Lonchura striata: one gene and its partners. The protein of the gene in region 1 interacts with the protein of each later gene in a pairwise test. Links are inferred from orthologs where the notes say so. Each region holds a gene or a part of one and is shown in the gene's direction. Other genes may lie near its edges.

What was found.
Region 2: the proteins of STAM2 (region 1) and KLHL42 interact in binary tests that used the Homo sapiens proteins (3 or more experiments, as listed by UniProt). The two-hybrid records come from large-scale screens. The link is inferred for Lonchura striata from reciprocal best matches to the Homo sapiens genes STAM2 and KLHL42.
Region 3: the proteins of STAM2 (region 1) and RNF11 interact in binary tests that used the Homo sapiens proteins (3 or more experiments, as listed by UniProt). The link is inferred for Lonchura striata from reciprocal best matches to the Homo sapiens genes STAM2 and RNF11.
Region 4: the proteins of STAM2 (region 1) and ARRDC3 interact in binary tests that used the Homo sapiens proteins (3 or more experiments, as listed by UniProt). The two-hybrid records come from large-scale screens. The link is inferred for Lonchura striata from reciprocal best matches to the Homo sapiens genes STAM2 and ARRDC3.

What each region holds. Positions count from the first base shown.
Region 1 is NC_134610.1:1,560,483-1,568,414, forward strand, and holds the start of STAM2 (signal transducing adapter molecule 2), read left to right. Parts: upstream 1-4,928; 5' UTR 4,929-4,997; coding exon 4,998-5,037; intron 5,038-7,932.
Region 2 is NC_134607.1:11,073,658-11,080,615, forward strand, and holds the start of KLHL42 (kelch-like protein 42), read left to right. Parts: upstream 1-3,952; 5' UTR 3,953-4,008; coding exon 4,009-4,904; intron 4,905-6,958. UniProt on the Homo sapiens protein: Substrate-specific adapter of a BCR (BTB-CUL3-RBX1) E3 ubiquitin-protein ligase complex required for mitotic progression and cytokinesis. The BCR(KLHL42) E3 ubiquitin ligase complex mediates the ubiquitination and subsequent degradation of KATNA1.
Region 3 is NC_134611.1:10,220,419-10,227,823, reverse strand, and holds the start of RNF11 (RING finger protein 11), read left to right. Parts: upstream 1-4,400; 5' UTR 4,401-4,630; coding exon 4,631-4,753; intron 4,754-7,405. UniProt on the Homo sapiens protein: Essential component of a ubiquitin-editing protein complex, comprising also TNFAIP3, ITCH and TAX1BP1, that ensures the transient nature of inflammatory signaling pathways. Promotes the association of TNFAIP3 to RIPK1 after TNF stimulation.
Region 4 is NC_134642.1:67,596,635-67,604,333, reverse strand, and holds the start of ARRDC3 (arrestin domain-containing protein 3), read left to right. Parts: upstream 1-4,681; 5' UTR 4,682-4,894; coding exon 4,895-5,174; intron 5,175-7,699. UniProt on the Homo sapiens protein: Adapter protein that plays a role in regulating cell-surface expression of adrenergic receptors and probably also other G protein-coupled receptors.

The sequences.
Region 1 (7,932 bases):
CTGTTTTTTAGGAGATGCCAAGACTTCCAGGCAGTGTCCATCAACCAGGGCTTTTGCCACTGGAATTGTCTCTCTGCATTTGGGAGAAATCTGGATGTAAACTCTGGGCGGGTGCTGTGCATGGAAGTGGGGAAAATCTAGGATCCATTTCCTCTGTGGCAGCTACTGTAAGGAAGAGGAATGCCATCGTGTAGCAACAAGAAAATAAAGTGTGATTAAAAAACCAAATGCATTCCTGTTGACACCAGCTTGCTTCCAACAGCCACGTGTGGAAAAGCGTCGGAGACGCTTCCGTGAGGAAACTGGAGTGGCTGAGCCGAGTGACACAGCCAAAGGAAGCTGAGCAGGAATGAATCAAAGCTTTAAGCAGCGAGGGGATGCTCACTGAAGTGGCATCAGGCTGTGTGTGCAGTGAAAGGAGTTTTATGAACGCAGCCCAGCCTTTCCATGCTGCCTTCTCCTGCAGGAATATCCCCACGGAGACAAAGCCTGTCCAGCTGCTGAGCAGAGCTCTGAAAGCCCAGCACATTCACACTTTAAAGGGTGAGCTTCTCACCTTCCAGGAACACCACAGCAGCTCCTCGCTCCCATCTTGGAATGCTTTCCATGGAATCACTCTGGGCATTTCTCTGTTTCATCTGTTTTGGGGCTGTGCGGCTCCCACACGGAGAGAGCGGCGTAAAAAACAGGGAACAAATATTCCAGCAAACCACAAAGTAAACGAGAGGGCAGCTGGAGGAATGCAGAGGATCCAGCCAGGCACAAAACAAAGCTGGAAGCCTGGACAAGCTGCTTCTGTGCACCAGGAAAAAGCTTCCTGGGAGCTTCCCGAGGGCTTTCAAAGCACTTTGGGGAATATAAATTGTCCTTTCAAACAGCTGCTGCACAGGCCAAGGCTGGAGATTAAATATTATGACAACATTTTGTAACAAAGAAACTGGGAAAGCTGAGTTGGCCCCTGGATGTGGGGCAGGGCAGGGAGGAGGGGGAGCAAAGATTCCCTACAAACCCTCTGGATCCATCAGGGACTGGACACGGTGCAGGCAGCTGGGCCTAATGGTGGGAACACAGCTGGGACACGGGGGCACAGACTGCTCAGGGAGACAGAGATTCCCAGAGCCAGAGGCTGCAAATACAGCTCTGGAAACAGCTTCTTTTCAGATCATTTTGCTGTCCTCTCCTCCTTGCTTCTCCTTAAGGAATAGTTTGTTCCTCCATTACTCCGTGCCCTGATATTTTCCTTTCCTTTCTGTATTGTTGTTGATTTTTACCATTTCCTGTGGGATTTTTCCTTTGGGAATTGTGGCTCTGGCTGTGGTGTCACCCAAAGCAGGAGTTCTGTAGGTGCTCCTGGACTGGATGTTCTCCACGACTCCTTGGAGCTGGGAGGCTCAGACTCAGCGGAAAGCCCTTCCCAATCCTTCCTTTCCAGGTGGTCTTGGATGCGTGGTCCCACCATGTCCAAAAGAGAATGGAGCAAAGCTCCACGTTTGATTTGAGGTGACAAAACCTATGGAAATGGAGGAACCATCCCTTCGTTTCCACGGCCAGCTGCTCTGACTGCGGCACCACGTGGAATGAGTGGAGTTCATGAAAGCCAAAACTCTGGAATTAACCAGGATCCATTCCAAATTCCCACTTTGGCCAGACAACATCAGTGTTCGGTGCCTTCCCGTGCTAATGGGTTCATAATTCCTCTTTTAAGGCAATTAAACCAATGAATGCCGTTCTCGTTCCGAGTCGTTAAATGAAAGGAGAAGTTTCGATGCAATTAGTGAATTTAGACCTCGGGAAAGACTCTGCATTTTGTCTTAAAAAATCTGGCAGGAGGCGATTCCCAGCAGCAGGATCGGGATGGCAAAGGGTGGCCGGGAATGCGAGGCAACTGTGCCCCCTGCAGACAGCCGGAATCCCTGGAAAAAGCCTGGAAAACCGGGAAGGGAACGCTCCTTGGACCTCCACCGCCTCCTCACACAGCCCATCCACTTCAAGGCGTTGAGCTGAAAGGTCTCCTCCAACCTTGCTGATTTGATGGAATTCCAGAATCAAAAATCCCGACAGAGAAGCTTTGATAGCCCCAGGTCATCACAGCTGATTTAAAACCCAATGTTTTGAAGTACAAGATGTTCCAAAAATATGAGCTGTTTTCATGACAAAAACGAAGCACTACATTTTTGTAGGAACATCTCCAAATGAAATTTTAATAAATAATAATAATTTATAATTATTCAAATGTATAATTCAATTCAATTACAATATAAGAATTAAATCTCTTTACAAAAGGTGCTAAAAATACTGTTTTCACACGTGCTCTGAATCTTACACTTTGGTATTACAGCTGAGGAAAGGAATGTGGCCCCTGAAATTCAAGGTGAGTGGGCAGGGAAATATCACTGAATCATACAGGAAGCTTTCAGGAATGCTGCAATAATTTGTGTTGGACTTCCAAAATCCTGCCCTTCTCCCAGAATTGGGAACTGTGCTGCTGCCATGCCTCACTTTGCCACAGGTTCTTTGGGAATAACTCAGAATTAGCCACAGGTTCTTTGGGAATAACTCAATTTGCCACAGGTTCTTTGGGAATAACTCAGAATTAGGCAGTGGGTGCTGTGCTTTGCCACAGGTTCTTTGGGAATAACTCAGAATTAGGCACAAATTCTTTGGGAATAACTCAGAATTCAGCAGTGGGTAACGCAGTGACTCAGGCCCGCTCCCACATGGGTGACTGTGCATATTCCAAAGGCACCGGTGCTGGGTACAACCCCTGACTCATCCCACTTGTTCCTCACAGGAAGGACTTGGAGCTGATCCCCCAGCAGGGATGGGGACAGGTGGTGCTCAGGTGTGCCCATAATGGGGATTTTTGGGGGGCCACACATCCCAAAAATCTGAACTGTCACTGAGCCACGTTCCCTGTGGAATGTTCCTGTTTGCCACCATCCCTCCACAACCTGTAATCCCCTCATCTCCTCAGCCAGTTATTAATTAGTGTCCTCTCTCCTGCTGGTTAATGATTCTCTCGTTCCTCATGCTAATTAATGCCGTGCCCTTGTCCCGTTTAGGGTCAGGCAGTTTTTTACCCCCTGCTGGAATTAATTCCCTTTTACCCGGGCACAGCTGATTTCACCACAGCCGCTGAATTGGCTCTGTTGGTTTCTTCCCTGCCCCGGGGGCTCTGCCAGATGCCTTTGTGGCCTGGGAATCCGGCATTCCCTGGATCCACAACCAGGAGAAATCCTTCCTGCTGAATGGGAATATTGAATTCCCTGCATCCACTGCCAGGGGAAATCCTTCCTCCTGAACAGGAATTCTGCATTCCCTGGATCCACAACCAGGAGAAATCCTTCCTGCTGAATGGGAATATCGAATTCCCTGGATCCAATACCAGGGGAAATCCTTCCTCATGAAAGGGAATCCCTGGATCCACAACCAGAGGAAATCTTTCCTCCTAAACGGGAATCCCTGGATCCAAACAAGAGGAAACCATTCCTCCTGAATGGGAATCCCTGTATCCACTACCAGGGATTGAAATCCTTCCTCATGAACGGGAATCCCTGGATCCACTACCAGGGATTGAAATCCTTCTTCATGAACAGGAATCCTGCATTCCCTGGAAATTCAGCTCAGGAAACAGCTTATTTTGGATGCACTACCAGGAGAAATTTTTCCTTCTGAACGGGAATCCCTGGATCCACTGCGAGGCAAAATCCTTCCTGCTGAACGGGAATCCCGCATTCCCTGGATCCACTACCAGAGGAAATCCTTCCTCCTGAATGTGAATCCCTGGATCCATAACCAGGGATTGAAATCCTTCCTCATGAATGCAAATCCCTGGATCCATAACCAGGGATTGAAATCCTTCCTCTTGAACGGGAATCCCTGGATCCACTAACAGAGGAAATCCTTCCTCATGAATGTGAATCCCTGGATCCATAACCATGGATTGAAATCCTTCCTCATGAATGTGAATCCCTGGATCCATAACCAGGGATTGAAATCTTTCCTCCTGAACGGGAATCCCTGGATCCACTACCAGGGATTGAAATCCTTCCTCCTGAACGGGAATCCCTGGATCCATAACCAGGGATTGAAATCCTTCCTCTTGAACGAAAATCCCTGGATCCACAACCAGGGCAAATCCTTCCTCCTGAACGCTCTCAGCCTCACCTACAGCTGACCTCACTGGAGCTGACAAGCCCTGAATTTAACACAGCAGTTGCAGCCTGAGGAATTTGTTTTTCCGGCACTGTACATCAGTGGGAGCTCGCTGGCTGCTGTCTCCCACCGCCCTTCCTGGCGATCCTCATTGCAACCTACAAAGAACTAACACCAGAGAACATCCTTCCAAACACCAGAGCACATCCTTCCAAACACCAGAGAACGTCTTTCTTAACACCAAAGAACTTCCTTCCTAACACAAAAGAACTTCCTTCCTGTACAAAACCTTTACGCATTCCACATTGGACAACAATCATGCAGGACCCTGCCTCATGACCCGCTTCCCCTGCAGCTCTCTGGGAAATTTTTTCAGCATTTCCAACGGTTCACTGTTTTTATTTCTTTTATTTTTTTTTTTTAACTTTTCCTCTTGACGAGCCAGGACGAGCTGCCCGCGCAGTTTGCGCCCTCAGACAAGCGCAGTTCGGGTACAAAGGACGAGCGGCGCCCGCCGCGCTCGCTCCCTCAGGCGCCGCCGCGACATGGCGGCGGGTCGCGTCGGCGCGCCCTCAGCGGCAGCTCCGCCCCGCGGGGCCCCGCGCCGCGCCTGCCGCCGCCGCGCTCCCGCCGCCCGCCCCGTTCCCCTCATCGCGCGGGGCCGCTCCGCTGTTCTCCCTCCCGGCCGCGATCCCGGCGGCGCTGCGGGCGCGGCGGGGCCGCGCGGCGCTGCGGGCGCGGCGGGGCAGCCCCGCGCGCGGAGCGGCCGAGGCGGGGCGGGCGCGGCGGCGGCTCCGGCCGGGTCAGGCGGTGCGGGACGCGCGGCGGCACGGCGGGCCGAGATGCCGCTCTTCGCCGCCAACCCCTTCGAGCAGGACGTGGGTGAGCGGCGCGGCGGCGGCTGGGCTCGGCGGGGCGGCCTGCTCGGGCTGTAGATTCTCTTCTTCCTCCTCTTTTTTCCCCGCTTCCTTTTCCTCCTCGGCTGTTTCCTTCTCCTTGTCCTCCTCTTTTCGCCTCGCTGTTCCCCGCGCCGGGGGTCGGCGTGGGTCCCGGTGGGTGATCCCGAGGAGGGCACCGTGGCCCGGCTGGGGCAGGAGGGATCGGCAGCCGTGGGGTGAGGCCGGTGTGACACGGGGTCACAGCGAGCCCCGGGAGTGCTGGGCTGGGAAAGGGCCTGGAAGGCTGGAAAAGGCCCTGGGAGGGGCTGGTGCCCAGCTGGGCAGGAGGCCAGTGGTCCCTGGGCTGTGCCAGCCCGGTGTGACACAGCCCGGGGCAGTGCCCGTCCCTGTGCTGGCACTGCGGGGACACCGCAAGGGTGGGGACTGCTCTGGGACAAGGGAGACACTGAGGGGCTGGAGTGGAGCTGGGAAGGGAATGGAGAATCCCTGAGGGAGCTGGGAAGGGGCTGGAGAATTCCTGAGGGAGCTGGGAAGGGAATGGAGAATCCTTGAGGGAGCTGGGAATGGGCTGGGGAATTCCTGAGGGAGCTGGAGAGGAAATGGAGAATCCCTGAGGGAGCTGGGAAGGGAATGGAGAATCCCTGAGGGAGCTGGAGAGGGGCTGGAGAATCCCTGAGGGAGCTGGGAATGGGCTGGGGAATTCCTGAGGGAGCTGGGAAGGGAATGGAGAATTCCTGAGGGAGCTGGAGAGGAAATGGAGAATCCCTGAGGGAGCTGGGAAGGGAATGGAGAATCCCTGAGGGAGCTGGAGAGGGGCTGGAGAATCCCTGAGGGAGCTGGGAAGGGAATGGAGAATTCCTAAGGGAGCTGGGAAGGGAATGGAGAATTCCTGGGGGAGCTGGGAATGGGCTGGGGAATCCCTGAGGGAGCTGGGAAGGGAATGGAGAATTCCTGAGGGAGATGGGAAGGGAATGGAGAATTCCTGAGGGAGCTGGGAAGGGAATGGAGAATCCCTGAGGGAGATGGGAAGGGAATGGAGAATTCCTGAGGGAGCTGGAGAGGGGCTGGAGAATCTCTGAGGGATCTGGGAAGGGAATGGAGAATCCCTGAGGGAGCTGGGAAGGGAATGGAGAATCCCTGAGGGAGATGGGAAGGGAATGGAGAATTCCTGAGGGAGCTGGAGAGGGGCTGGAGAATCTCTGAGGGATCTGGGAAGGGAATGGAGAATCCCTGAGGGAGCTGGGAAGGGAATGGAGAATCCCTGAGGGAGCTGGGAAGGGGCTGGAGAATCCCTGAGGGAGCTGGGAAGGGAATGGAGAATCCCTGAGGGAGCTGGGAAGGGGCTCAGCCTGGAGCCAAGGAGGATCCCCAGGGATCTTTTCCCTCTCTGGAATTCCCTGTCAGGAGGGGACAGCCGGGGGGATTTGGGATCATCCCAGGGAATGGGACAGGAGCAGAGGGAACGGCCTCAGGCTGGCCCAGGGGAGCTCAGGGTGGGACCAGCAGGAATTTCCCCATGGAAAGGGGCTCAGGGATTGGCACTGCCCAGGGAGGGTTGGAGTGCCCATCCCTGGAGGTGTCCCAGGAATTCTGGAGGTGGCACTCGGGGCTCTTGGCGGGGACAGGGTGGGCATGGGGCACAGCTGGGACTTTGGGATCTTGGAGCTCTTTTCCAGCCTCATTTCTGGGATCCTGAGCACCAGAATCCCAAGGCTTTTCCCAGAAGGGAATATCCATCAATCCCACCCCAGCAGCAGAGGTGGCCCTGCCCCAGCTCCTCCTGGCAGGGAACATTTTGTGCTCCCCCACAGCTCCAAATCCCTCACACCAACAACAGAAAAGGAGCCCGGAAAGTCCTTAAAATCCTATCTTTTGCATTTTGGGGGAAAAATTCTTCCTGGCAAGCGTGCTCAGGCCTTGGCAGGGGCTGCCCAGGGAGGGTTGGAGGTGTCCCTGGAATTCCTGGAGGTGGCACTCAGGGCTCTGGGCTGGGGATAAGGTGGGCTTTGGGCACAGCTGGGACTGGATGGGCTGGGAGGGCTTTTCCAGCCTTAATAATCCCGGGATTCCTCCTGTGGCTGTGGTGGGCCCAGGGCACACCTGACACATCCTGGCCGGGCTGGGGGCTCTGGCAGGGAAAGGATCCGTGGTTCCCCCCTCTCCCTTCCCCTCAGCAGCATCAAGGAATGGTTTGTGCCTGTTTTGCTCCGACTCCTGAAATTTCCCAGCGTTTTCCAGAGGTGTCTCTGTGCATCCTGGCCTCGCCATGGCGTTTGCAGGGATTCGGATACTTGTGGCTGCTGGAAGATCAGCTGCTTTTCATCCTTTTATTGAGGATTTTTTCCCAGTGGCTTCCCCAGAACCACACAGAGGTTGGGGTGGCTGTGCAGGGCCAGGAGCTGGGCTGGATGATCTTGATGGATCTTTTCCAACTCAGGATATTCTGTGCTTCAATGATTACAGAAGCTGCCTGGAGTTGGGCTGAAGACGGTGACTCAGTTGTTTTGTTTTGTGTCCTGCCCTGACTCGTGCTTCCTTAAACTCGTGCTCTGTGTCACTTTTTTGTTACACAACGTCTGTTCTCAATGGCAGCACTGAAAAAAACAGTGAAATAAGTGAGACACCAGGCTCAGCTTTCTTGTTGGCACCCTAGGAAAGAGAAGAATTCAACATTCCTGGGATTTTTGTCCTGGCCAAAATGGAAGAGTTTGAGTGCTCTTGTTGCCACACAATCTCTTGTTTCATTTTGAGCTGGTTTCCTGGTTTATTTATTATTTTATTTCTAATTTCAACTCCCTGGTGCAGTTTGCTGTTTGACCACACTCACATTTCACGTGGCTCAAACTGGTGTATTTGTTCAGGTGGATTTTTTTGGAAC
Region 2 (6,958 bases), on another chromosome or scaffold:
CTTTTTTTTTTTACTCAGTGTGGTCTTTTCCTCAGAGCATTCAGGTTAATGTTACTCTCTGGTTCTCAAGTATTAGACAGTGTCTCCCTGGCTTCACTTTTCTTGTCTTTGTAGCAGTAACTCCTCCTGAGTCTCTGTGATTCCTTGCTATTGCTATGTTGGGAAAGTCAGGGGGCTACAAGAAATGTGTGCCCAGGCAGAGAAAGGCTCAGATTCTCTGTGTCATGGCTGAATGATCTATTACAATGGAGTTGCTGTATGAAAAAAGTTTCTTCCATTTATTTTCTTTTTAAAATAAAAGAGTGGTCTCTCTTTGGCCTTGGAACAAATTCAGACATTAACTACAAGGAAATAGTTCAGGCAACAGAGACAGGGAAAAATTATGTAGCACAAATAGCCAAGGCAACCCTGGAGCAAGAGAGCCTTTACTGACACTCTGGTGTCTGCACAGTCCCTTTGCTGGCACTTGAGAACCTTTTTTCTTGGTATCAATTTGTCTCTCAGGTACTGTAAAGAGAGGCCTGAACTGCCTAAAACACTTTGAAGCCCCAGGAGCCAAAGTCCAGAAGACAGATATTGAAATGCTGAGCAGAGTTACCTTTGTCTTCCCCTCTGTGTGTCTTGTTCTTAAGCACATGTTCTTTTGTCATAAACTCATTTAACATTTTAGATTTAAAATCTACCATGACGTTTTCAAGTTTGATGCTTCAGCATGTTCTTCAAGGATGATAGAAAGCCCTTCATATTTGTTTCAAAGATCATGCAAATCTTTTATGGCTCTGAACTATACATTTCAGCTTTGTAGCTCTAGAAATAGAGTTCCAACTCTGGAAAATATATTTCTTATTCATTTAAGGTACAACCAAGATGATTGCTGGTGAAACACTTTTCTTTGATTCCATTATAATAACATCTATTATTGATCTTAGAAAAAAAACGGTTATAACTGTAGAGTGGAAGACAGACAAAATTATCTCCACAAGAGTGGAACAAAAGAGTAGGCCTTGCCTTGGTGCATTTGCATTTGCTCTATAAGCACATCACACAGGCTGACTGATAAGTGTAGAAAAAAATAAGGGACCTGTTCTGTCAGCACAGTCTGGCTTAGCACAACTGCCTGGCCCTGAGCCTGGAAAAAGCACAGAGAATTGACAATCAGCCCAATAAAAACAACTGGGTAAGGAAACAGGCTTTTTGTAAAAGTGCCCACTCAGTACTGCTGACCTCCTGGGCATGTGAGAGCTCCTGGGGAAAGCTGTGGGAGTCATGGCCATCGAAAGTTTGCTGGCAGGAATAAAATGTTGTATTTACATGTCCTCTGAATAGAGAGAGATTTAACTTTCTCAGGATTTCTCCTGAGAGAAGCTGTGAGAGAAGCAGAGGAAAGAGAATCAAAACAATTCTTATCTCACCTCACTGGTTGTTGTGCACATGTGGAATGTGTTAGGAGATTGTTTACACAAGGTGATTTCTTAATGGGATACTGGTGATGGTGTTTTGGATTGATTGACCAATTGGATCCATGTGTGTGTCAGGACTCTCAGCAGAGAGAGTAACGGGTTTTCTAGTTACTTAGTGATAGTTCTTGTTAGTGTAATATAGTTTTAGTATAATATAGTATAATAAAGTAATTAATTAGCCTTCTGATATCATGGAGTTCTGCACATCATTCTTCCCACATCAGGGATCCCAGCACCGATAATAAAACACTACTGTATGCCAGAATTGATCCCACTCATTCACAAACCTCATGGACTGTGAGGAAGAAGGACTGGAAATCCTAGGCAGAGTGGCAGGCATAGGCTCATTTGGCAACATACAACCAGAGAAGAAATATTTCATCCACTCAGGCTGTGGTGTCAACACTTTGAGGCTGAATTTACCATAACTGACTACATGGAAAAACACATTCACCAATTAGGAGCTAATTTATGAATCCATGAAACATAAGAGACTCCAAAGCAGATGTCTAAAGATGGCAATCCTTCTGTATTGCAACAAGACAGCTTGCTGGCCATGCCAACCATGAGATCTCTGTTTTCCTCAGGAGTAATAATGATTAAAATTGGTTGAAATGCCTGCCTGTGGGAATTAAAGGACAAGAAGGAATTAAGAGTTGGACTCCTACTGAGATGGTGAGACACTTGTGTGTGATAATCTTTTGAAGGCTGAACCTGAACCTTAGGAAAAAAACAGCCGAGTGCTCACACAAACTCCAGCTAGATGTAAGAAACTCAAAAAGCAAAATGTGGTGGTGCTTTATTAAGAACAAAAGATGGGAGCCTGGAATTTGAATGTTAATTAAATAATGACAAAGACTGAAAGAGGAACACAAACCAAGCAAACAGTGAAACACAGTAGTAGGAAAGAGAAGGTGAGAGGTGATGGTGACCCAGCTAGTGAAGAGATCTCTTTTATGTCTGGTTGAGATCCTATAGAAAAGGATTTCAGAATATGACATGGGCCCCTCAAAAACAAGATGATGAAGATGTTTGAAGTGAGGTGGAAAACAGACATGCACAGAAATCTACTTCACCTCAAAAAATGCTTTTATAAAAGCAGAAAAGAACACCTGTAACTGACGTTGACATTCGTGTCATATCCAAGGGCTAGAGTTAAGATAAAGATCAACAAAAAAGTGATAAAGGGTCACAATCATTTCATAGAGGAAATGCTAGAAAGTAAACAACCCTGTCTTCCTTAAAAGAGAGGGAAAAAACTCCCACAAATCAGACTAATATGACATGTTTTAGTAGTGGGGAGAAAAAATCCCTTCTGAGCAGTGAAAATAAGGAGTTGTCTGAAAACTAAGCAAGCTGCACAAACTGGACATGAGTCACACTACTGCTAAAGGGAAACATTTTCTATGGTCTGAAGGACAATATCTGAAGGAAATATCTTTATAAAGATAAATATATATTTTGAACATCTTTATAGTACATATCAGCATATAATAGAATACAGGCATGGCAGACTTCTCATCTATTTTGGCAGATGGCAGGGTTTTTTTAAAATAAAGGAGTGTTACTGTGTTTGAAGAATATAACAAGGCAAACAGCAAATCTATCATTTTACCCTTGCCCAAGATGCTCAGTTGTTAATTTGCTCTTTCCCTGTTCATGTCAAAAAAATTCAGGGCTCAGTTCTTCATTTGCTCTTTTCTTGTTCAAGTCGAACAAACTCAGAGCCCTGGTACGCAGCTCTCTCGTGAGATGTACTGTTGCAAGCACTCAGTTTAAATAGAAGAGACGGAGCAGCAGAACAGGATGCAGTGTCTTCACAGGGCGAAGCAGGCGCTGGGACACGCAGGGAGCCAGGAGGGTCAGAGCAGAGTCACGCATCGCCCTTGCCATTCCCGAGTCCCTCTGCTGCTTGGGCTGTGCAAGGGGAGCCCGGGGGATTCCGCCCGGGAAGGGACGAGGTAGTGCGGGGATGCGGGGATGCGATGGCACCAGGCTGGCTGTGCCGCTCACACTCTGCTTTTTCCCTGCGCCTCGGGAATGCTGCCCCTGGGCCAGGGCTGCAGCGGTACATTTATGGCAAGGGGTCAGAGCTGCGGCTGCAGCTGCGATTCCGGCCCAAATCAGGAGAGGGGAGCACCAGGGGGGATCGCTGCGCCTCTGGGCTGTCCCCTGGAGCCCAGCACCGGCCTTCCCACCGTGCCCCTGATACCTACCCTGGCTGGGCCCGGGGGATGTCCTGACGCCCCCCACCCCCCCCCCCCCGGCGGGCAGCGCCGGAACGCTCAACATTGCCTTTTTCGGGCTTCTTTTTCCTTTCCTCCCTGTATGCGGATTTTTTTTTGTTTGTGGGTTGTTTTTTGTTTTGGGTTTTTTTTTTTTTTTTCTTTTTTTCACTTCCCCTTGTCTCTCCTCGCAGCGAAGCCGCCCCGCCCATCGCGGCCCGGCTCGGCCCATCCCAGCCCGGCTCGGCCCATCCCGGGCGGCGGAGGAGGAGCCGGCGCGGCGGCTCCGGCCGGGCGCGGCGCGGCCGGGCCCGCTGTGAGCGATGTCCCTGGCGGAGCGGCGGCGGCAGGAGGAGGAAGGGGAGCGGGAAGGGGAAGCGGGGGATGGGGCCGGTGCCGGGGAGGAGATGGTGCAGATCCGACTGGGGGACAAGTGCTACCCGGTGTGCAAGAGGAAGCTGATCGAGCAGAGTGATTATTTCCGAGCGCTCTACCGCTCGGGAATGCGGGAGGCAGGGCAGGGCCAGGAGGAGCAGCTGCTGCGCGGGGGGCTGAGCGCCCTGGGGCTGGAGCTGGTGCTGGACTTCATCAACACGTCCTGCCTGGCCAGGCTGGAGCAGGAGGAGGGCGGCGAGGAGGAGCCGCCGCTGCTGGAGGAGCTGGTGGAGGCCGCGTCCTACCTGCAGGTCACGCCCCTGCTGCGGCTGCTGCTGTCGCAGGTGCGGCTGGGCAACTGCTTCGAGCTGCACCGCCTGGCGCAGGTGTACGGCCTGCAGGACCTGCACGACGCCTGCCTGGACTTCATGGCCGCCCACTACCACCAGGTGCTGCGCCGGCCCGACGCCCGCCCGCACCTCCTGCTGCCGCCGGCGCTGCAGCAGCAGCTGCGGGAGCGGCGCATGAGGGGCGCGGCCACGCTGGTGCTGCTCGGGGACTTCAGGGGCGCCTGCCCGCCGGGGCTGCCCGCCGGCTGGCACCCCGCGGGGGACGCGCCCTGGGCCATGCTCCGCTACGACGAGGAGGCGCGGCGGTGGCTGCCGCTGGCCAACAACGTGCCCGCCGACCTGGTGAGCGTCCGTGGCTACGGCTCGGCCACGATGGACAATTACTTGTTCATCGTCGGCGGCTACCGCATCACCAGCCAGGAGATCTCGGCCGCGCACTGCTATAACCCGTGCCTGAACGAATGGAGCCAGCTGGCCTCGATGAACCAGAAGAGGTAACTAACCTCTGCTCCCCGGGGTACGCGTGTGTCTCTGCCTGCTGCTGAGATAGATCCTCTGGAGTCACATGGCGCTGGTCAGCCTTAGGGATTCGATGCAGACCTGTCTGCGGTCTGAACCACCAAACAAATCCAATGACAAAACTCCTTTCCCGCTCTCTTGTTGGTGTATTGTAACTCTAGTTAAGTATGTGACAAATATTCCTGGTCTTATTGGGGATGTACAGGCTATACCAGAGCTGGAGATGGCCAAAACAATTCAGTTGCAAGCAGTTGTCCTATGGTTTGTACTTTCAAAAAATCTGAATGTTTTGTAGACCTGCACTTCAGTGAAATACCAGGAGAACGTCAGAAAGATGTTTGGTGAGAAATTTCTCACTTGATGGGAATGTTTGGATCTGGGAATAATTAATCGGTTTTTTACCTTTATCCTTTTGAACCGTTTATTACGCATTGATGTTTTAGTTTGCATTTAGAAACACTTGCATAATTTATACTTGAAAGAGTAATAGAGACCTAGCCTTGAGGAGGGCCCAAGAGCAGAGGCCTTTTCCCTAGCCAAGGCTGTGGCTCCTCTACCTTAACCACACTTTGGAGTGATAAAAAACAGAGGCTTTAATTTCACTGAAACAAACTGGCTTTATTTCCAACATGAACTTCCTCTTTCTTTCCATTTTAGTAAAAGTATTTTAAAATTTTTTCTCTCTGAAAAAGAAAAAGTAAGGAGGCCAAAATTCACTGTAGAACGGAAATCCTCTTCTCTGTCTAGTGAATTGAGTGAGCATGCACAGAGACCCAAGCCATTGGCATAAATGCTTTGTATCTGAATAGTTAAACTGCAGTTTCTATTCCAGGCTCTATTTAGCTTTTGCCACCTAAACCCCCTCAATAGAGGGATTAGACCTAAAATTAAGTCTTTCTCATTTCACCTTTTTTTTCCTCACACACTTGTATTGTGAGAATTCTACTAAAATAATCACCTCCTTAATCAGTCATCACAACCGATCAGAAACCATTTTTCTTAGTGTTTCTGACTGCTTGGAAAGACAGTGGGAAAAGTTTTATCTGTAAAACTAATGCTTGGATTTAAGCATTACAAACACCTTTTCTTACAGACCTTTCTTAGAGGCTCAGCAGAATTCCCTGAGGTGCCTGGGGAACAGAGATGTTTTAGATAGCTTCATTCGACAGCAGGACTTGTGTGAATGGGGTTGGGAGCACTTGGCCTCAATAGGAAAGCAGGATGGGGTCAGCCCACACAATGTCTCCTATGGGAATTAACTTCATTAACAGAAGTGCCACATTGATCAAGTCATGAGGTTCTGTTTCTGTAATGTCTATAGCAAGAGAGCTGTTACTATGTATGTTGACTCTGAAATGTGGGTTCTAAAAACTACATTTTTGAGGCCCTTATTGCACCTTACAGTTTGTGTATTCAAACTCTAGATCAGCCTTTTTTCCTCCACACTTGCCCTTTTTTTTGTTTTTGCTAGGTGGTATAATCATTATACTTGAAATAAACACATGGATATTTTCTCCTAATACTGTTTTCAGTGGTACTGTCACATCAACTTCATCTTCAAACCCATCACAGGTGACAGCAAGGTGTTCTCTAGAATTTCACATTGGCCATTTACTGCAGAAAGGCAGCAGGCAAATGGATATTTTTTAGAATAATCTTTAGTCTTAAATTCCATGGTAGTTATTGCAGGCCAAAAAGTACCCAGAATTACACCTGCAAAGTAGCAGTGAGGATGTTGTTCCCTGAGTAACTGCGGGGACTTTTTTTCATGGAAACTCAGCTGACCCCTTCACAAAACACATTTCTGATTTTACCAGCTTCATGGTAAAATGCAGTTAATTATTACTTTTTCTATCTGGCATAACATGTTGGCTCCATGATGACCTGCTTGGTGCTTTGTGGCAGGGAGGGATGGCCTGTGCTCTAGGAGCCAGGAGCAGCACCATTTTTAACATGAGGGGTTTGCATGCTGCATGACCAGTCTGCCACACATCTGTGCTGCAATTAGACCTGCAGTTTGCTTGCCATT
Region 3 (7,405 bases), on another chromosome or scaffold:
CTCCAACTCCATCACCTCTTGCCCTAGACCCACTGAACATAAAGAAAAACGGATTCCTTCTCTCTGCAGAGAAACATTTTCTATTTTTGAAAGATCATTACCATTTTTCCCAACACCTACCTTTTCTTCAGACTAAACAACCCCAATTCTTTCAATTTTTCCCCTCAGATCATGTTTTGTAGGTCTCTGATCATTCTTGAAGTTGAGACTGTGGCAACATGTGGTACAAGGGGAAAAAAAATTATTCCTACACAAAATTCCCCAGGAAGCTGGGCGACAGAGGGTTTGTTTGAAGAGGTTACTTTTGTATGATGACTGTCTGCTTTGTTTCTTGGGTGTTTCAGTGCCAAAATACATGTTCTTTCTGTTCTCTGTGGCTCAGAGAACAGGGCAGGTGCCCCAGGGCACAGGATAGGCATACATTACACTCGTCACTGAAAAAACATTTTGGACCTGGGGAAAACCGTTATTAAGGAAAGCAAGTTATTCTTGCCAGTCATGGAATACTTCTTCTTACCAAGATGGTATATTTGGGATAAATTGCTTTAAGTGGCATATTTGTGATACCAGTATAATTTAGGCAGAAGTTTAAGTAATTTTTAGAAACATGAGTAAAATCCTGCATCACAAAGTACATTTCAGGGAAATATATTAGTTCCATAATTGCTTTCTAGTGCTGCATTCACTCTGTCTCAGAAAGCAATATGCATTTGTAACATACACTGAGAAATGTCTATGGTTCAGCTAAAATCAACAAAACTAAAAATAATCATGTGCATTTTAGAAGATGCCATGTTCTTTATAACCACATAAATTAATTCCACCATCCTCATAATCAGATTCACATACATAATGGAAGAATGTAATTTACTTCCATTCTCCAGAGGTATACAAAGTATTTTTTTTTTTTTTTTCCTTCCAGAAAAAGGTTTTAAAATTGCATTGTGTTCTATTCACCAACATTACCCAAGCAAACAGAGTTATCTCTGAACCTCTGGGTAGCATGGCATGGAAAGATTGCACTCAGAAATCAACTGGGCTTCTGTGTATGAATTGGGAAAACAATCCTACCCAGAAGAAAGATAAGACCTAATGAGAGATGATAAGTGTTGGGAAAATAAGCTTGATGGAAGAAAAGGAAGTGAAAAAACTTTTCCATGCTGAGGACAGAAAAGGTCTTTCGAAAACTTTTGTTAAGCATGACATATTAAACATATCCAAAATGTTATCCAACAATAACATGAACATGGATCACGTAAAATGGTGTTATCAAAAGATCTTTCATCTAAAAATTAGGCAATTTATGACGCCAATATTGTAGAGGAACTCCTAACAAGAAGGACTTTTTATGTCTCCAGAGGATTTTAGATTTTGAACTCAAAAGGAAATGGATTTTTCAGTAGAACAGTTCATCACCTCCGGCTACCTCATATGAGCCTTAAGAATATGTCAATATGTCATTTGCCTCCTCTCATATCAAAAGCCTGTAAAATAAAACATAAACTTTGTCTGCATAGTTTAAAACTCTTTTTCTTGAATTTCCATTCTGTTTTGAAAGAGAGATTTCACTCAGAAGATGCTAGCTGTCACAAGGTGGTGAGGACAGACCCATGTGTGACATTGTTGTATTGAGGTGTACCAGAACATTAATTCTGTATGCTGGCAAACTTCAGAACTTCCCCATTACCATTCTGAAAACAGATTACAGCCAACTGTTTAAATGTCTAGATGTGAGGAAAAGTTTCATTGACTTGCCTTGCCAGTTCTGTATTGATATTAGTCTGACACAAATTTTTGTATTTGCATGATCTTTTCTGTCTGTAGTATTTGTGCAGCCCTAAACCACGACATGAATCTTTCTTCCTCTACAGGAGCATTCTAAGGCTCTAGAAAATCCATTCTGACTATTACGTGTTCCCCAAAATTAGTAGAGGAAGTAAAAACCAGAGAGAACCGAAGTAATCAGTTAAACTACACCATGGTTCTGCTAAAGCAAAGAAACCACACTCATAAATCACATCTTCTGAGGATCCATCCCTCTACTTCCTTGTCCCCAACCTGCAAAAAGTGTGGTAGCAAAAGGAGTAGGCTCACAGCTACATCTCAGCATATTCAGGGATATTAAAAGACATTTGTGAACACTAAAATGTTTCCATTTTCCATATCCTCAGACCTTTGTACAACTTTTGAGCTGATGGTTCAAAGCCACTATTAATGACCTATCTGGCAAAACAGGAGTGAATGGCCAGGAAAAGCAGTGCCTTCAACCACCCCAACTTGAAAGAGTCCAGACATGACTGGTAGTAGCTCTTCCCCCTTCAGAGCTCTCACAGGTGCAGTCTGTCTTGTTGCAAGGCCAAACATGAACCTCTCTGCTTCCTCTTTGGTCTCTGTGAATCCACCGTGAAAAGCAGGTCTCTTCTGGCATTTGACAAGTCTGCATTTTTTAAAACATGCCCAGATTTGGAGCATCCTGTACCTACTAAGGGGAAAGTTTTAACTGGGCTTAGCAGCTATTCCTTCTGGAGATCGGCCACAAGGTAAATAAATGCAACATCTCTACCATGAGATGCAGAGGAAATCCCACCTACATCCTGACTGTATATCAGGATGAGACCAGTTTGCACTCTGGTTTCCAAAGAAAGGCTATTTTGGCACGTCAGCCAGCAGGGAGGCACCACAGGTTTCCATAGGACCTCCTCACTGTGGAGGATCAAACTGTGATCACAGCCTCACACCATGGCACAGTGTGACCTGTGGTTTTCACTGAACTACATCAACGACACAGGCCTGAGCCTCAGAGAGAAAACAAAACACAAGATAACAGCTGAGTAACTCAGTCCTTCTAGCTGCCCATCATCTTGTTCCCAATGGTGCCAGTGCACAACTCAAAATACCAGTGACAATGCTGGAGTTTCATCACCAGGTTCTCACAGCAGACAGCTCTGACATTGCCTTAACCTTGAAAATCATGACTGGGTGAGGCAGTGGTTCACTAGATCCCCTCCAACAATTGCTTGCCTAATTCTATTAAACCAAGCCAACAGACTCATAGGATAAACACCCAAATGAGCAAGCCATGTACCACAGTCATTATTTACAATGCACCACTGCAAAGCCTCTCTATCTTGAGCAACACTAAAAATCCTGCCCGATTTTCAGTTTCTGTTTCCTTGAAAAGCCTGAAGCTGTGTTAGAACACCATAAATGGCAGCAATCACAGGCTTTACACCAGGGTTGTTTAACTTACCCTTTGATAAGCAGCAAAACAAACTACCCTAAACAGTAATAAAATGAAATCTACAAGAATGAACTCATAAGGATAATCAGCAAAAACTCTGATCCCAGACTGAGGTCCACCAGCAGAGGTTGTGGAGGCAAATACATAACTGTGAATGGCATGTCTGGAGATATTCTGACCCAAGAAGTTGCAAAGCAGGCCCAAGCTGTATCAGCAGACAACTTGGTACTGCAGCCACGCTGTACTGCTTTACAGACTGGAATTCGCAGCTGCTCTCATCTGCACCGTATTTGCTTCACCTTAAAAAATACTTCACTTTAAAAATTGGATTTTAAAGTATTTTCCATTATGTGACTCTGAAGGCCAAGGATGCATTTTGAGGAACCAAAGAACACTAACAGGACCATCACATATCCCACGCTGTGTGGGTTAGTGCTGGCACACTAACACAGTGACACGGGGGCATTCAGTATCCTCAGATTTGCATTTATCAGTACTTACCTAGACTTATATCCAAGTATGGATATATTTTTATGAAGGCAAAAAAGAGAAGATAAATATATGGCTCATTAGAGTACTTGCTCATCGCATAAAAAACCCTTTAGAAACGCAAAAGCCAAGTGCTGATTTTGCTCCACTCTGGGGCTCACTGCCCTGTGCCTAGACTGACCGTGCCGCTGGGGTCACGCCAGCGACCAGCACGGGGAACTCTTCCCTGCCTGGGGAGCCTTGGGCAGGCCCCGGGCCTCGCACAAAGCGCCTCAGCCGGGGCGGGCCGGGTGGCGCGGGGGTCGCCGCTGCGCTCCCGTCCCGCCGCGCCGGGCCCCGCCATGCCCGGAACACAAACAAACACCGCGCTCGGGGGCGGGGCCAAGCGGCTCCCACCATCTTGGGGCCGGGGGAGCCCGGCAGGCGGCTGGGTTCCCCAGCCCGTCCCGTCCCGCCTCGTCCCGCCGGGGGCGGGCAGGGCTGTCCCCGCGGCGGGGCCGGGGGGTGCGCAGCCCAGCGAGGCCCCGCGGCTGCTCCCGGGGCCGGGCGGGGAGGGGTGAGAGGAGGAGCCAGGGCGGCCCGTGCGACAAAGCCCAGTGCGCAGGGAGCCGGTGACCGGGAAGCAGAACCGCGCCGGGCAGCCGCGGGCGGACCCACCGGAGCCCGCTGCCCCACGGGGGGTGGGAGGCCCGTCCTGCCGCCCCCCCCGGCTCGGGGGTCGGGGCGGCCGCGGAGCGGAGCGGGAGGCGGCCGGGCTGCAGCTGCTAAGCCGCTTAGGGCCGGGGCTGGCATGAGCCTCCCCGGCGGGGCGGCTGCGGGCTGCGCGCTGCGGCGGGGAGGCTGAGGGCGCGGATCCGGAGCGGGAGGAGGCGAAGGAGGGGCCGCGCTCCCCCCGGGAAGATGGGGAACTGCCTCAAGTCCCCCACCTCGGATGACATCTCGCTGCTGCACGAGTCCCAGTCGGACAGAGCTAGCTACGGAGACGGGGCTGAGCCGGATCAGGAGCCGCCGCCGCCATATCAGGTAGGGGAGGGGGCGGCAGCGGGGCCGGGGGTCGCGGCGCCGCTCGCCCGGGGCCGGTGCGCGCCGCCCCGGGGGCCGCCGCCGCCGCTCCGGCGCTGGGCGGCCCGAACCTCTCCCTTTCCGCCCGCACGTAGCGCGGGGGAAGCCGCTTTGTCTCGGCCGGTGCCGGCGCTCCGGGCGGGCGGGAGGCGGAGGGCAGGGGCCGCCCGGCCGGTGCCGCGTCCTTTGTTGCCGCCGGCGGTGACATCACCGTCTGTGTGATGTCCCCCGCACCGTCTGGCGCGGGGACGCTCCGGGACGGGGACCGCGGGCCCTGCCCGGGCTTAGCCCGGGCCCGCTCGCTCCGCTCCCGTATTTTTAGCAGCATCTGATCCCCACTGAGTAACTCGCCCAGCGCAGCGGATCCTGTTTCCCTCCGTCCTGTGGGGCACCGGCGGGGAAGTGTTTCCCATTGTTCGGTGGGGTTTTTGGTTTTTTTGTTTTTTTTTTTTTTGTTTTTTTTTTTTTTTGTCTCTGGGAGAATCTCTTAATTTACATCTTGATGATGAATCAAGGGGGAAAGAAGGAAAAGGCCGAGCGTGCTTTGATGGCTTTGCTGTCAGCGGAGGGTAACGCCGGTGTGGAGGGAGGATGGCATTGGTGTCGAAGCCTGCGCTTGGCCGCCTCTGGAAGGGATGGACACGAAAAGGGAACCTGAACTTGGGGTTGCACTTGTCTGCTCCCGGACATCTCCTCCCCCACCTACAGAAATGCGTACTGACCTAAACAAACGGTCTACAGCACTGAAAAATGAAAAGGAAAACCATCCAGCGATAGAACTGCACATTGTATTCGAGTTTTGAAAGTATTTTATTGTCTGGGATAATAGCATACATACCAGAGGCATCTACAGAAACACACATTCTGGGGGGTAGGTGTAACTTGAGAGCTGATGTTTTCTAGGATGGGAGTCATTCCCTAATTGCAGAGCTTGATGTATAATTAACAAAATTGCAGGAAGTATTTAACCGGACAGGCATGTAATCTATAAATGCTTTAGCGAGTTCAAGAATTCCACCCTGATAGGAGCCCCGTAAGTGTTGAAGAGAAGCCCTGCACGTAGCAGCCCTTGCTGGTGCCCTGAAGCTGCACTGATGTTTCTTGGCAGTGTGTGCCTGATTGTTTTGTTTGGGTGCAAAAGCTGAATGTCACAATAAATTTCGTGAGGATTTTTTCTGTTCTGATTTCTGAACTATGTCTGCTGAAGTAAATAGAAAGTGCTTGGTGGCGGATCAAGTTTTTTGTGTTGTTCTAAATTAAGCCTGAATGGTTTAGAAGGTGTTGTATGAGGTTTAGAAGTGTGTTGTATTTTTGTCAAATCAGCATAACAAGTTTGAATGTTTGTGCTGTTGATTGCATTTATATCTGTGATTATAGGAAGACTTGTGAAGGTTTTTGTCTTCTTGTTCTTCCCTTTGAAAGCAACCTTTTAGCTCTTGCAAGAGTCAACAACCACGTAAATGCCTTATACAGGCCTTCTAGTGTGGATGTTGAAGTAGAGAAGGACTCTGTCGTCAGAGGTTTTTAAGATTTTTTTTCTTGATGAGGAACTTGTCTGTAAGTGTGGATGGTTGACTGAGAACACGACAGACAGTAAAATAAATGAACCCACAGGTGTCTATTATCGAGGAAGTGTATTCATAGCAAACCTTCCCTCAGCTGAAGAAGCTGTGCAGCATCAGGTGATGTGCCCACAGGCACTTGGCTGTGTTGAACATCACTGTCTGTCCTGAAAACTCCTCCACTGATCCTGCCAGTTCCTAAAGCTTCACCTTAGGGTAGCCTTTAGTGTCTCATAGTCAAAATCAAAGCTACTCTTTCCACAGGTTTTGAGCCATGATGGATTGTGACTTTAAAAAAAAAAAAAATAGGTCTTAGCTACAATATTATGCAATATCTGTGCGCTTTAGAGGTTGAGGGGATTTATAATTTTAAATTAGTTAATATTTACAAGATACACAAAACTCTTAAGTAGGAACAATTGCTAATGCTCCAGTATTACTTCTGTGCTAGAAATAAGTCGCCCATTTTAACTTTCAAGTGGCAGCTCAGAGTCAGTGTTGGAAAGTTGTGGCCTTGTTCCTGGTAATGACTTCTTTCAGTATCTTAGCCAGAGTTAGTGTATAATGAGTAGACATTAGAAATGAAAGCAGGAAAGGGGATAAAGCAAGTTGGAAAACTTACTTGTGGCAACTAGCCTTGAGAAACTGGAAGGTGAAGAGTTTTAAAGCCAGCTGCTGAAATATCAGCTGCATATTTTAGAAGAAAGTAAAATCTGGTGTCTGTTGCTGTTGGGTTTGCAGCAACAGTATGTCAACTTCCTGAGTAGCTCTTGCAAGGTATGCAAACTAAGGGAAGGAGGTTTGCTGGGGGAAGATACACAGTTGTAGAAGATGACTTCTGTATTATTTTGACATTTAAAGTATTTTTTTGTGTTCTGACAGGATTGTGCCAGGGATGTTCATGTGAGACTCCTGTTATGACTTAGTATTTATTTACCTATTGAGTTCCAACTGCAAAATGTACCCCCAGTAAAAATTGCAGTATAGCATGTGGAATTTCTTTGATCAGTGAGTGCTATTAAACTGGCTGTGTAAAATTCCTACTTCCAAA
Region 4 (7,699 bases), on another chromosome or scaffold:
CCTGCAGTTAGTGTCTTCCTAATATCTGTTTTCTTGATATTCTCATAAGATTGTTTATAAATGTGTGTCTTGTTAATTAGCTAATTGGGTGAAATGTATTGATTAAATGACCAATCAGGTCCACCTGTATCAGATCAGTGTATAAAAGAAGCAACACCAAGTAAAGATGCATGCTTATGCCACTCAGCCTTCTGACTGACTTTTTGTCATTTCTTACTGAACAGTCACACCAACTCTTAAGTTACTATCTTGGCACTATTGGCAGAGTACCATGCCCTGACCAACGGAGTTAATATCATGGCATGTTGGAAAGATCCTGTAACAAAAATACACACTTTGCATAAAAGAAACTTTATATAATCACAAATATTTTAAGATTTCTCTGCAAAGTGCTAGTCAGAAGGAGAGATAAACATGAAAAGAGGGAATGCAGAAACAAAATTCAAGAGAACATTTTCCTCAGTACTACTGCGACTCAAGCACATTGCCAAATCCTTCTTCCTCGCACTATACGGTAAAACCCCATCAGAAAAGTTACATGTTACATCAAAAAAGTTACAACAGCAAAACATGTTACATGTTACTAGACTCACAGTAAAGTTTATTTTGTATCTTAATCACTCCTAAATAATTTTGATTTCATAATCCTGCATATTCTCATAGCCTTTACAATATCAGTGACCATCCCAGGTTTTTAAACATGACCACGTGTATGAGCCAGGTATGGAAGCTCTGCAGCTATGGCATGGACCAAAGTGTCACCTAGCTCCAAGACAGCTTTAAAATATTTTAAAGAAAAAAACCGCAAACTAATAAACATTTCAAACAGTGCTTGAGTTTTGAGACTGAATATTTTTTTTTACAGTATGTGCCTTCTGAAAGCAGAATCATCAGAAATACAGAACGCTCTTTCTCAATAATAAATGCTATCATCTAAAGATACAGATAATACGAGAAAAGCTGCTCCCAAATCCTGGATCTTTCAAATCCAGGAAACAGTTTCAATCTCCAAGTTTCTTTACATCACTGATTATTTCTCCATTAAAAAAATAAGCCCAAAGGAAGACTATTTAGCAAAAATTTCTGTTCTTTCTACAGCTCTGAGAGATGAACAACTGTTCCAGTGGAGATAGTAACAAAAAGAAAGTCTGTAGACATTCTTCTGAATCCCGGAGTTTTGGAAAAAGTTCCTCAGTACACAGATCTACAGTACCATAAATTAACTTTTTTATCTCACTATTTTGATGCGACAATATTTCACAAATGTAGCCTCACAAAGTTATGATGAGGGCAAACCTCATTTCTCTTATTTTTATGAATAGATTTGGGATCAGACACAACAAAGATGAACAGAAACAAGTCCATTAAGAGAACATTTCACATGTTTCATTCATTCACTGCACAAAACATAGAAACCATTCTGGAGCATGAGTTTTCTTTTCAGGATTCTCCCTTTGATAAGGACACGTTAACCTTCAGAAAACACGCATCTTCTATTCTGACACTCACTCTAGCCCATTCTCTGTGTACAAGGTAACAGCTTCACAGGGAGGGCAAACACTGTCTCCACATCAAATCAGGCCTAGTCTCAAACCAGGATGGTCTGTAAGAAGATGGGCTCAAAACCTGGATCTTCCTACTAATAGTAGTTTATTGATGAGTCAGGAGAACTTTGCAAGCTTTTCTGGCTTTGCTTTTAGAAAAATGTAATGACTGTTATCAAGATCATTGTGCATAATACCCACCCTTACAGATTTACCAAGTGCACAGTGAGAAGACTGATAAGCTACAAAGATTCTAAATGGACCTAACCTCTGGATTTTGAATGGTCTTCAGCATAAATGTATAATTACGTCACATGGAGGTTGAGAGAGTTCTAGGCATAGGTTGTTTTATTTAAAAAATAAGAAAATAATTTTAAAAGGAGAAATAATTTTTAAAGTTCCAAGGGAAAAAAAAAAAAAAAGACAAACAAGGAAGACTTTGCCAGTTTCAAGAAAGGGTTTGTAAAATAAGGTATAATCTTTATGCCTTTATGGAGGCTGGAATATTGCCATCTTCCTTGGAGCTACTAACTTCAATAGCAGACACCATGATCTTCATAGGTTCCACCAGTTAAAAAAAAAAAAAAAAAGAAAGAAATTTGGCTTAATTAATCAAATTAATACTTTTTTAAAACTTTATGTGAATTTTTGTGGACTGTATCATGCATAAGGCCTGTAAAAGGTTAGTGAAGGCTCGTGATAATTCATGTGTGTACAAAGTCTTCACTGCCTATTGTTGATCTAAGATGATAAGACCTGATTGTCTTTGCAACCAATTTTTAAAATCCCATGTCAGGATCTATAAAACTTTTAATATTTAACTAGAGTATAGCTCATTTGACAAATGCAAAAACTTAAATCCTGAAAAATATTTGGTTAACTTAACATCTAAAAAAATGCTAAATATTTTTGGCTAAACCTCATAGTATATTCTCCACTTAAATAAAATAAAATTAATGTTTTGGTGTATTTTTTTGTTGTTGCTGTTGTTGTTGTTGTTTTTGACAAAAAGGCTCCATGGAAAAATGTCAATTTTGCATAAATGCAGAGGCCAGAGACTGGTGAAAGTCAGTGCTGGCACTTCACCATCCTTGCCACAAGGTGGCATGACGAGTATGCTTTAGGAACACAAAAGTAAAACGAATACACTGAAGTATTAAAAAGAGCAGCAGAGGCTGAATGTGTACGGGTGATTTTTGGCAGGATGCAGGAAATGTATACATATACATACATAGATTCTTCTGCAGAGCTGTCAGTCTGAAGTTTAATATGCATAACACATGATTAACTAAACTATGTCAGCCTGTTCAGTGGTCTAGATTTAAATCACATATAGCCATACACGAAATATGGTGATCTAGGAGATGGCTGATGTCTAGTGAGAGGGGAGGTAAGACAGGGCTATGAGGTCTGCAGGGTATATACAGGGGATGATTTGCAGCAGCTTAGTGAAGTATTTTATTTTTCTTCAACAAATTTGGAATAGGCAAATGCAAACAGTACACAAAGCATGCTGCACATACCCCAACTATGTAGGATGATCCTCTTTCTTACCTATCTAGATTAAAAAAAAAAAAAAAAAAAAAAAATCCAGATTAATATCCACTGGAATAACAGATTTGTATCTTCAGCTTCCTGGAAAATGCAATTGCTCTTTATCATGTCTGCAGATTTGTCCTTGGGCAGGTGAACATTAAGAACCAGCCCAGAATTGGCAGAACAGGAGATATGACCCAAACCCTGTGGATGAAATCTGCATCCCACCTGGCTGCCAGCTTTCTCAACTCCTGTAGCAACTGGAGACCATGGAATTGTGGCTTCTATGACTCATGAAAGACACAATTATCTTTTAAATTACAGAATAGAATTAAAATGTGCAAATAAACACATGCAAGAGACTACCTGAGTCTGAAGGCATGAGAAGAACAAAGAAACACTGTCAGAAGAGAAATTTAATCAACTCTTCTTCTCTTGAAAGTGTTTTTTTTTATGGTTGGACTACAGGATTTTGAAGGTCTGTTCCAGCCTCAATTATTCTGTGATTCTAAGAGCTAAGGAAGTATGAATGCTTACCATGAGATGCTGCAAAAGCACAGAAAATCCTAATTTACCCACAAGAGACTTGAATTCCTTTGGCCACAAAAAAACCCCACATGAGAATATCCACAAGGCCAAGGAAAATGTGACTTTTTTTACTTAAGAAAAAACAGCAGGAATAGGCAAACACTTCAAAACTTAACCGTTAGCATGAAAAGTTAGCTGTGTATCTCAGTTTAGTCCCCCGAAAAAATGGTGTCTTGGGGTATGTCATCCACCACCATCATACTTCTCACTGAAAATTTTGTGTCAGCAGGGAAGTGAGCTAGAATTAGAAAATGTAGCATTAAATAACCAAACCCAGAGCATTTACCAGAGAAACAGGACAACCAAAGTAATAATGAAAAAAAAAAAAAAAATCAACAGTTGGAAAAAATTCCAGGGATGATTTACAGTAATGTAATTTTTATTGCTAGGACAGTCATTGATACTGCCGTAGATAAATTCAGGTTAATCAGTACTGATTTTCAAAAGTTAACAGAGAGGATCCTCACATAGTACAATATGTACTACCCTGAAAGCCAGGACTGCTTTTTATTTCTTGCCATGATTTTCTATCATTTCCTACCAAGCTTTGCTCACTTCTTTCCCATCTTTAGACACAGACACATACACACAGAGATAAAAAAAAAAAAAAAAAAAAAAAAAAAAAAACGAAACAAGGAAGAAAACCTAACCAAACAAACCAAAGCAGCAAAATCCTACCAACCAACCAAAACCACCCCAAAACCCAATGACCAAGAGAAGGAAGGCTTTGCCAGTTTCAGAACAAGGTCTGTCAAGTGAGGCACAACTTTGCTGTCTCCGTAGAGGCTGCAATACTGCCATCTGCACCAACAGAGCATCACCTGCGCGGCGTCCGCCGCAGCACACGACCCGCTCCGCCCGGCCGGGCGGCACAAAACGCGCTCCGCCCGCTCCCGGGCGGCGGCGGCGGCGGCGGCGCGGAGCCGGGGCTGCCCCGGCGGGGCGGGGCGGGGCATGCGCGCCCGCGCTTGTTTGTCACACGGCTTATAAGGCGGGGCCGGCGGCGGCGCGGCAGCGCCTTTGTGGGGAGACGCCGCGTCGGCACCAGCGCCGCCCGCGCCGCGGCCGGGGCTGCCCGCCGCCCCCATGAGCCGCCTGTAGGGTACGCGCCGCAGCACCCTGCGCCCCAGGGGCTCGGGGCTGGTTGTTTTTTGGGTTCCCCCTTCCCCCTTTTTTTTTTTTTTTTTTCTTAACAGTCTATTTTTGTACACTTTGCTATAAAAACCATGGTGCTGGGGAAGGTGAAGAGTCTGACGATAAGCTTTGACTGTCTGAATGACAGCAATGTCCCTGTTTACTCTAGTGGGGATACAGTCTCAGGAAGGGTCAGTCTAGAAGTAACTGGGGAAATCAGAGTGAAATCCCTTAAAATCCATGCGAGGGGCCACGCTAAAGTACGTTGGACTGAATCGAGGAATGCTGGATCCAACACTGCCTATACACAGAACTACACCGAAGAAGTGGAATATTTCAACCATAAAGACATCCTGATCGGCCACGAGAGAGGTAAGGGCTGCCCTTAACTGTGCTGCTTTATTTTTTTATGGAAAAAAAAGCACGCATCTTTGTATCACCCTGGTTTAGTCCTGTCTTTTAATTAGGTGCATTGGAGAGCAGGACGTGCCCAGGGTCGTATCTTGGCAATGGAGTTACATGTAGGAAATGCATTTGCAAAGTACCTGCAAGCAAGAGGACTCCCTCTGAACTACTTGCCCTTCATTACGGCTATATATTAATATAAGTTTTTTCCGAGTGTTTTACCTTTTATTTTTTCCTTGGTGATATTTAGTAGGATTTGCTGTTCCGTGGGGAAAAACAGCTGTAAAATTACAGCCAGATGGGCAGCGGACTTTATTGGCAGAATCCTAATTGAAACACAGCGAAAGCATAAAAACTATACTTTTTGACACATGAGGGGTTCTGCTGATGCTGTTGGAGTGGTAATACAATGCATTTTTCAGGATGGTTGATTATTTGCAGATAAAAGGGTCTCCCTAGCTTATTTTGACATCTCACCACCACACGTGTAATTTTTCCCTCATTTCAATATTCCCCTCGCCCTGGTAAAAAGCTTTAATTTCCTTGGGCCGCCCCTACACCCCGCTGGGCAATGGGGGTCACCCCGATGTAAAGATGTGTCCGAAAAGCCCTTGATGAGGAGCAAAAGGAGGGGGAGGAGAGAGAGGGGGGGAAGCGATATTGCGTAATGGAAGCATCTCTCCCAAAACTGGGGAGATGAGGACTTCCTGCTCCCCACTTCCCACTCGAGCCGCCGTGGTGTCCCCACGAAGCGCAGACTCCTTCCCCTGGGGGGTGCAAGCGCCAGGGCCCGGGGGTTCTCTGTGGTTTTTTATTTCTTTCTCCCCCGAACTTCGCAGCCTTTGTTCGAAGCGGTTCAATCCTGTTTGGGACCGGCTTTGTGGGAGGGGGGTGGGCCGCCCGCTCCGCGCAGATTGGCCGCACTCGTCAGGTGGTGGCGATGACTTAATTCCCCAGTGCAAGAAAATAATGTTAAAACCCGGTTATGTAATTTTTTTGGGCTGCTTGTCCCCCCTTTTTTTTTTTTTTTTTTCTGAAAATACATCATATACACAGCAGCGATGCGATATTTCTCGTTTTTTCTTAAAAAATAATAAATGTAATTTTTTAACAACTCCGGGCGGCACCGAGCGCCTTCACACAGTATTCCCGAGCTCAAAGCTGTAGCAGAACTCGGGCCTTTTTTTAGTTTGTTTTTTTTTTTCACGTCTCGAGCACACCGCGCTAACGAGGTGACTTAGGGCTGCCACCGCCTCAGAAATCAGACACCTGAGCGTAACTTCCCGCGGGTTCCAAGAGCGTGGAGACGGGAGTCTGCAGCCGCGCAGCAGCAGCCGCCCGTGGCGGGGGGAGCACGCGTGGGAGCGGGCGGGCCGGGAGCCCCGCGGAGCCGCGTCTCGGCTCCGGCCGCGTTTCGCCGCCTGCCCTCAGCGCGGCCCCGCGGCCCGGCCGCGTTTCGCCGCCTGCCCTCAGCGCGGCCCCGCGGCCCGGCCGCGTTTCGCCGCCTGCCCTCAGCGCGGCCCCGCGGCCCGGCCGCGTTTCGCCGCCTGCCCTCAGCGCGGCCCCGCGGCCCGGCCGCGCCCTGATTGGCCGGCCGCGGTTTGTTGCCCTGTTGCTAAGGCGATGCCCGCCGCTGATTGGCGGGGCGCTGGCGGCTAGGGTGAGTGAGCAGGTTTCGCTGCCTGCCCCCGGCGGGCAGGGGCCGCTCCCCGAGGCGCTGGCTCGGCGCAAAGCCCCTCAGAGAGAGAGAGGCGGCAGGGGGACGTGCTTGCGCCCCGTCTCGTCCCTGCCCCGTCACCTGAGGGGTCTGCCCAGCGCGGGCGGCGGCAGGGTCCGCCCTGGGTGCGGAGCCGGCGGCGGGGCTTGGCGGCGCTCCGGTTCAGGCCGGTCGGCTCCTGCTCCAGCCCGCGCTGATTGACAGCTCAGCACTTGTTTACCGCGGCGTGGCGGGACTGCTGAGCTGGCAGGAAGGGGGGGGAGCGCTGCTTGCAAGCTGTGGCTGCGCCGCTCTCCGCCAGGCTCCCCCCCCAGCCTCGGGAAAAAAAATTAAACAAAAAAGAACAACACATAAATCATATTTCTTATTTTAAAAAATCGTATTTATTATCATAAAAAAAAATAAACCAAAACAAACGCAAACCAACAGTATAAAAGTCCACCTTCAGGCCGACACATTTTCTTGCCTTTTCAGCACATTTTCCTGACCTACGTTGAGTAATGTTGCGTGCTGAAGGTGTATTTATTTCCACATCTTGCTGATGGGACGGGTTTTTTTTGTTTGTTTGTTTTGTCATTCGTTTCTAAATTTTAGGTATTTGCACTCCAGGAGGTAGAGCATCGCCTCTTCTATAGGACAATAGAAACTCAGAATCCCTCCATTAATGCTTCAGACCATCACACATAAGCTGTTCTCTTTCAATTTGTCTTGCTATAACCCCTTTTATAATTCCAGCCCTTTTTGTCTGCGAGGTGTTCAGTCATTTTTCACTCAA